Linked DNA regions of Cricetulus griseus. Each later gene encodes a partner of the first gene's protein in a complex. Links are inferred from orthologs where the notes say so. Each region holds a gene or a part of one and is shown in the gene's direction. Other genes may lie near its edges.

Evidence for each region. Proteins that work in one complex are often made in the same cells at the same time.
Region 2: the proteins of Elane (region 1) and Slpi are in contact, whole or in part, in a crystal structure (PDB 2Z7F), measured with the Homo sapiens proteins. The link is inferred for Cricetulus griseus from reciprocal best matches to the Homo sapiens genes ELANE and SLPI. Residues at the interface, in NP_001963.1 of Homo sapiens: His53, Phe54, Cys55, His70, Cys71, Asn74, Val75, Pro111, Val112, Asn113, Leu114, Leu158, Ile165, Leu180, Arg182, Val197, Cys198, Phe199, Gly200, Asp201, Ser202, Ala216, Ser217, Phe218, Val219, Arg220, Gly221; in NP_003055.1 of Homo sapiens: Tyr93, Gly94, Gln95, Cys96, Leu97, Met98, Leu99, Pro102, Phe104, Met121, Cys122.

The regions. Positions count from the first base shown.
Region 1 is NC_048598.1:100,685,265-100,688,924, forward strand, and holds Elane (neutrophil elastase), read left to right. Parts: upstream 1-1,170; coding exon 1,171-1,234; intron 1,235-1,499; coding exon 1,500-1,656; intron 1,657-1,763; coding exon 1,764-1,905; intron 1,906-2,506; coding exon 2,507-2,740; intron 2,741-2,859; coding exon 2,860-3,060; 3' UTR 3,061-3,108; downstream 3,109-3,660. UniProt on the Homo sapiens protein: Serine protease that modifies the functions of natural killer cells, monocytes and granulocytes. Inhibits C5a-dependent neutrophil enzyme release and chemotaxis. Promotes cleavage of GSDMB, thereby inhibiting pyroptosis. Promotes blood coagulation.
Region 2 is NC_048599.1:15,125,614-15,129,615, forward strand, and holds Slpi (antileukoproteinase), read left to right. Parts: upstream 1-1,176; 5' UTR 1,177-1,522; coding exon 1,523-1,646; intron 1,647-2,239; coding exon 2,240-2,401; intron 2,402-2,860; coding exon 2,861-3,009; 3' UTR 3,010-3,010; intron 3,011-3,567; 3' UTR 3,568-3,783; downstream 3,784-4,002.

The DNA.
Region 1 (3,660 bases):
TCCCCCCATGCCCTGTCCTGGAGTTGGGACGTTGGTTTTGCAACAGCTTTGGCTGCAGCTCCTGGAAGAGATGGGAGGGGAGCTGGCCACAGAGTAGGGGGGCTGGGCCCTGGGTCCTGTCTCCATTGTTGGAGGAGAGCATTCCCCCTGTGTGGTTCCAAATTGGAACCCACACTCTGGCCACTGTCAAGGGCAGCAACTCCTTCTCATGGGTGCCCAGGCATTAATGGGGTCAGGTGGGACTGTGTTCCCCATTGTGAGGAGCAATCATCAAATTAGGGGCTAAGGTGCTACAGTGTGCACCCCAAGTTTAAATGACCTGTTGTGCTGGGCATGGTGGCCCATACCTTTAGTCCCAGTGCTGAGGATGCAGAGGCAGGTGGATCTCTGTGAGTTCCAGCCAGCCTGGTCTACAGAGTGAGACTTTGTCTCAAACATACACACATTCACCTGTCACTGGGTGTGTAGAGCCTCCATGTCCCTCAAGTTTTCTGACTTAATTAAGAATCCAGCTATCCATTCTCTGTCACCCCAAGAAAAAGTCATGCTGACACCGAGCCTTTGACAACGCAATGCATTATGTATTGCTGTTATTACCATGCTTAGGTAAATAAGCTGAGGCTGAGGGATTGGCTGGGCCTCAGGGCACCAAACTGGGCCTGGAGATGCACATCTGTTATCCCAGCACTCAGGAGGTGGAGGCAGGGGAATTAAGAGTTTGAGGCCAGCCTGGACTATTTGAGATCCTATTTTATTTTATTTTTGGTTTTTTAGAGACAGGGATTCTCTGTGTCACCTTGGATGTCGTGGATCTCTGTGGACCAGGCTGGTCTTGAACTCACAGAGATCTGCCTTCCTCTACCTCCTGAGTGCTGGGATTAAAGGTGTGAGCCACCTTTGCCCAGCCCTGAGGTCCTGTTTTTTAAAAAAAAAAAAAAAAAGAGAGAGAAAAAAGATGGCTTGCTCAGTTGTCACTGATATTCAGCAGCGTGTATGAAGTTGAGTGGAGACCCTGGGGGGGGCACGCCTCTCCATGCCACCCACATTGTCCTGTCCTCAGGGAGGAAGTGGGGCTGTGACCGGCATGGGGCAATACAACGGCCTCTGGCTGCAGCTATAAGTATGGCTGTTAGGTAGGGCTGTGGAGAGCCACCAGAGCATAGCCCCACCATGACCCCCAGCCCATCATCCAGCCGGCTTCCTGCTTCCATGCTGCTGGCCTTGCTCCTGGGTGGTGAGTGAGGATGGCCACACTGACCTTTGTCATCTCCATTGTCTTTCCTAATTCTCCCAGGGCTTTAGAAAAAGACATGGAATTTTGCAGTGCCCAGAACACTGTAAGGAAAGAAGGGAGGTGCTTGGATCTTCAGTACAGGAGTACCTTGGGCAGGTTCTTGTTCCTCTCTGCCTCAGTTTCCCTCATCAACATTGTGAGTTCTCATTGGGGGTTCAAACAACTTGGTGGCTGGGGCTCATTCTTCCTCCCCGTGTGTCCCTAGGCCCGGTGCTGGCCTCAGAGATTGTGGGTGGCCGGCCAGCCCAGGCACATGCTTGGCCCTTCATGGTGTCCCTGCAGCGGCGTGGAGGTCACTTCTGTGGTGCCACGCTCATCGCCAGGAACTTCCTCATGTCAGCAGCCCACTGTGTGAATGGCCTGTGAGTCCCCTCTTCGTCCCTCTCAATCCTCAGTGTCCACATGGGCCAGACCAGAGAGGTCAGGTGGGGGCTCCCACTCATACTCCTCCCCTCTCCGCTGTCCACAGAAACATCCGGTCAGTGCAGGCAGTGCTGGGAGCTCACAACCTGCGGCGAAAGGAGCCCACTAGACAGATCTTCTCTGTGCAGCGGATCTTCGAGAATGGCTTTGACCCCACTCGTCTGGTGAACGACATTGTGATCATCCAGGTAGGCTTGGGAGTCCGGGAGCCTGAGACTCAGGTGCAAAGGTCTTGGAGTTCAGGCTTGAGAAAGGTGCAGTGCGGAAGGCTCTGGGAGTGGGGAATGGGGCACAGACACAGTGGGGCAACTTCAGTTATTGCCTCTGAGCCTGTTTCCCACTGAGCACAGTGGGAATAGCTGTCCTGTAGGCCTGATGGTGATGGCTCATAAGATCTAATATATGGAAAGTTCAGGGCAGTGTTCAACAAATTCCTGTTATTTGCGCTTCTCTGCTCACTGACTCTGTGACTCTGGGGTACCTGGGGGAAATATTCTTTTTTTGGTTTTTAGGGATAGGGTTTCTCTGTGTAGCTTTGGAGGCTGTCCTGGAACTCACTCTGGAGACCAGGCTGGCCTCGAACTCACAGAGATCTGAATGCCTCTGCCTCCCGAGTGCTGGGATTAAAGGTGTGCACCAGCAACACGCGGCTGGGGGAAATATTCATTTCTTCCTCCAGTTCCTAACCATCCCCACCACTTGGTGGCAGGGTACTAAGCCATTGTCTAAAGTGCCCTGCGACTTCTTCGTGTTCTAAGTCTCTCCCTTACTCACTGTCCCTCACCTCAGCTCAATGGCTCAGCCACCATTAACACCAACGTGCAGGTGGCCCAGCTGCCTGCCCAGGGCCGTGGCGTGGTTAATGGAACTCAATGCCTGGCCATGGGCTGGGGCAGGCTGGGCACGAACCGACCGGCACCCAATGTGCTCCAAGAGCTCAATGTGACCGTGGTGACAAATTTCTGCCGCAACCGTCTGAATGTATGCACGCTGGTGCCACAACGGAGAGCAGGCATCTGCTTTGTAAGTTCCCTTTTGCAGTAGAAGGGATTGTGGTCAGACCCAAGGGATGACTTCCCAGTGCTGGAGCATGAGTAAGGGGGTGCCGAGAGGGCCAGTCTCTGACCTTGACACCTCCTCAGGGGGATTCTGGAGGACCCTTGGTCTGTAACGGGCTTGTCCAAGGCATCGACTCCTTCATCCGCGGAGGCTGTGGGTCTGGATTTTTCCCAGATGCCTTCGCGCCTGTGGCTGAGTTTGCAGACTGGATCAATTCCATTATCCGAAGCCATGACAACCATCCCCATATCCACCCCAGAGACCCTGAGAGCAGCAATGACTAGGACCTGCCTGTCCTCCCAGTGCCGTCAACCTCAAGGGACAGCTCTCAATAAAAGCAGCATTTGCTTTGTTTGCTGGGTCTGGTGTCTGTTGTCAGTGCCACAGAATGTAGAGCAAAGCCACTATCTAATGTGAGGGGCACCTCCTGGGGACTTGGCTACCAAGCTAGGGCAAAGTCACAGCAGGAGACACGTTCCCCACGTTGTACAAAAAGAGATCAGTGAGATGGCCCTTTTGGGCTTCTGTCCCCTAAAACCCATGTTCAGTTAGGTCTCAGAACTAGGAGGCTGAGGCGGGAAGATTGTCATGAATTTAAGGACAGCCCAGGCAACGAGTGAGGCCCTGTCTCAGAAAACACAGAGGGGCTGGAGAGACAGTTCAGCAGTTAAGAGCATCTGCTGCTCCCAAAGGAGACCTCGGTTCCCGAGTGTGGCTCACAATTACCTATAGCTCCTGTTGCAGGGGGCTTGTCCTCTGGACTCTGGACACCAGGCATGCAATACACACCCCCATACACAGAACTAAGAATAATAAAAGTAAATCTACCAAATAAATAAGCTAGGACTGGTAAGGTGGTGCGGTGGGTGAAGGTGCTGGCCACG
Region 2 (4,002 bases), on another chromosome or scaffold:
AGGGAGGAAATCTTATAGGGTCCCCACCCAGATGATGAGATGCAGGAAATTAATGAGAGATGAAGTTTTCCTCATGGGTGAGCCACCTAGCTGGCTATGCAATATTAAGTGGTCACCCATAAAATGTGTGCACATGAACAACACTAAATGTAGTTGGCAGGTTGTAATAATATATCTATTCATATACACACAGAACAGTAATAATTAAAGAACAAGAGGCCAATACCATCTGTTGGTGGTACACACCTTTATTCAAGCACTCAAGAGGCAGAGGCAGGCAGATCTCTTGGAGTTCAAGGTCATCCTGGTTTACAGGGTGAGTTCCAGGACAGCTAGAGCTAGCTGTTTTGATCCCCTACTCCCAATAAAGAAAAAGAAGCCAAGTTTGAGAGGGAGTTCAGGGTAGGGAAAACATTGGAGGAAGTAGAGGGAGGAGGGTAACTATACACACACACACACACACACACACACACACACGTATTTACAAACCAACATGTATGAAATTTAAAAACAAGATCATATGATGTTGAGGCAAGACTCGAACTTTGCAGGTAGGGAAGATTGGGTTGAATTGTACAGAGAAGGGTGGCTCTCTTAAGAATTAGACTCAATTTGGACACACTGGATTTTACACACAATGGGCTGAACACACAGCAGCCATAATTTTTTCTGACATTTGATGCCCATAGTGGATTTAGAGATAGAAAGAATTCCTTTAACAACAGAAATGATACCATAGCTCAGTGCTGATTACAGTGACGAGTGAGAGAATTTATCCCTTTGCTCCAATCCATCTCAATGGTCACTTGTAGCCAGGGATGCAGTTCATTAATTAAGTGTGATTTCAAACTCTTAATCTCAGGACCAGTCCTAAGTCATTTCATGCCTAGGAAACTGATCTCCAAAGAGATTTGCTGAGGGCCAATGCCCTTCTGCGTACAACCTTCATTTATTTAGAGATTGTATTCTGTGTTTCAGTCATGAAATAGGCACTGGGAAAACAGCGGTGCAAATCATTTGGCAGAGATAAATGTCAATTGGTTGAACCATGCGTCATCTGTATTTTGAGAAGAAATTTGCATTGAGCAATAGCTTAGAATTTCAAAATCCCAGAAAGTCCAGGAACTTGAGAAATAGAGGCACATTGCAGTCTCAGCTGAGAGTTCACTTCCTATGTTTCAGCATCAGGTCCTGGTGGCCCTTTTGTGACTGACCCTTACTACTCTTCTCTACCAGTAAGGGCTATAGGGTTTCAGATTTCACAATGCTCAGGGCACAGGTGGACATGTCCCTCTGAATGTCCCTCTGAGGACAACTTCCAAACTACTTCTTTCATTTTCAACTCTCTGGTAGTTACTCTGCTGGCCTCATGGTCCTGTCTGAAGCAGAAAGTCTACCATCTACTTCTGTAGTATCAAGACTTCTGTTCTCTGGCTAAAGCTTCCTGACTATGCAATAGCATGTGGGAGGGGCCAAATACACCCCACTGCAGCCACACCCTCTGGTAAAGATACAAATAGTGATGCTTGGGACTGCTCATCAGAGCCACTCTGCCTTCACCATGAAGTCCAGTACCTTCTTCCCTTTCATGGTGCTCCTTGCTCTGGGGATCCTGGCATCCTGGACTGTGGAAGGAGGCAAAAATGGTGAGTTGGGGTTATTTTGGCCTAGAATGTCAGAGGTGAGGGTTCCTGGTGGTTTTGGTGTCTTCCTTTCTCTAGGCTGTCCTCAGCTTACTCAGGACTTCCTGGTGGCATCCATGTCTTGCTGGGGTCAGAGGTTCCTATGAGGCTTCAAGGCATGGAAGAATGCTCCCTTGATTATTAAACCACCCTGTCAACCCAGGCCTCACTCTCTCTCTGTTCCTGTCCTTTCTGTTTCTGCCTCTGGCTTTAGTTCTCAACATCTCACAGGTTTGTTCCCTTCCTGTTTATTTCTCTTGTCTCCATTACTCCCACTCTCCCCTTCTGTCCTTGGTAATCTAGCTTAGCCATGAGGTGGAAAAACTTGATTGGGAACCCTGTGCCTTTTGTCCTCAGTCTGTGATGTTTTTCCTGTTTACATGTCTGGTTTGACCAAGCCTGTCATATTTGTTTGTTCCTTTTGCTTTCTTCTGCAGTTAATCCCCTTTGTAGTTGTGGGCTACTGGGATGAGGATTTACAGTTTGGAAAGTGGTCCTTTGTCTATGAATTGTGATAGTTGTTCCATGCTCTCCTAACATCATGACATCCTCTTTAGATGCTATCAAAAGTGGTGCCTGCCCTTCTAGAAGGCCTGTCAACTGCCTGAGGAAGGAGAAACCAGAGTGTGATTCTGACTGGCAATGCCCGGGAAATAAGAGGTGCTGCCAATTTAGGTGTGGTTTCAAATGCATTGATCCTCTTCCCATCCGCACTGCAGGTGAGCCAGCAGAGGACCCAGGAGCAGAGGAATGAACCTCAAGACCTAGCACTGAAGGGGATGGGATTTCGGGAAGGGGTCCTCCTAGGCATGCTTGCTTCTAAGAGTGGTTGAATCCAACATGGCATCAGTCAAGGCATCATGCTGCCATCAGCAGGAAAAGCCTCTTGTCTGAGGCAGCCATTCTGTAATGGTTTTGCAAAGAATCATCTGGGCATTCAGCTTGATGGAAGCCGTCAACCCTTTCAGTACCAGACAGCCGGCCACCTGCATTGTCTGGAGGCAGATGTTAGAGGGGAACCAGGTGTTGTTTCAGGGGACATATCTGGGAGTAGGTGATTGAGGTGAGGGGTAAATGGGGGTGATTTTCCTTGCTCAGGCTGAAGAAGGTGGGTTAAAGAAGCAGTGATGTGGTGGCTGAAGTCTAAGACATCTGACCTGTGCTTCTTCTGTCACCAGTGAGGTCGAAGCCTGGCAAGTGCCCAAAGATTCAAGGACAATGTTTGATGCTGAATCCTCCCAATAGGTGTAAGAGGGATGGCGAGTGTGCTGGCAACTATAAGTGTTGCCTGGGCATGTGTGGGAAACTCTGCCTTCTCCCACAGTAAGGTAAGGAGTCAGCTGGGGTGGACAGACTCATTGCTTTTCAGACCTTTTCAGCTTCAAGGCTCTGGAGGTCAGGGCTTATGGCAGGGAGACTGTAACCAACAGCCTCTGTCTGGCTTGTCCTTTAAGGGCGCTGTCCCCTATTTCTTAGGGCAAACACATAGGATTGTCTGTGGTTTTGAATCTACACAGTGTGTCTGGATAAGGGCCATGGGTGAATGACTTTCTGAGTCTCTATCTACAGAATGGAAATGCTGAATTTGAAAATGTTTTGTAAGGCACTGTATGCATTATTCATTGTCCAAGTTATTTGCTTTGTCGTGTCTAGGGTTAAAGCACAAAGCGTAGATATAATTAGAGGGATGTCTAGTTCAATGCTCTGAGTTTTGAATTTTACAATGAACGTGAGACTTGAACTTTTCTCCTGAAATCCACAATCCTCTCACCTCCAGTCCTGCTTTGTTGTTTGACCTCTCTCAGCTGACTTCCTTATGGAGGACCAGAGGGAAATGATTTGTTTGGCTTCTATGTTGAAGGTCTTATCTTATTTTCTCTTGTAGCCTGATCCCTGGCATTTCAGGCAGCTCTGAACCGTGCTGTGTGTGCTCTGGAACCTCCTTCTCTGCTCTCAGGTTCCCCAGCTCCCATCTTGGATCCAGTGGAGAGGGTTTGCTTCTGCCACCAACAGCTCCCTTTGGTACATGCTCAGCATTCAGGAGTCTTTAAGGCAATACCATCAGAGAGCAAATAAATAAACGCGTTTATGTCTCTAAGCACACCCTGCCTCTGTGAATCACTGAGGGGAAGGGTGTGGCAAGGGTCAATAAGGGAAGGTTTGGAGAAGAGGCTTCCTTCTACATTCATGGAATGAAATGGGAGGGTTTATGGTTTGGGAAGTTTAAAGTTACAGTATGAATCGAACAGTATTGACATTTGAAAACGTGACTTTACCTCCTAAAAATAATTTTTTTTTTGAAATCTGTGAAGTGGTAACA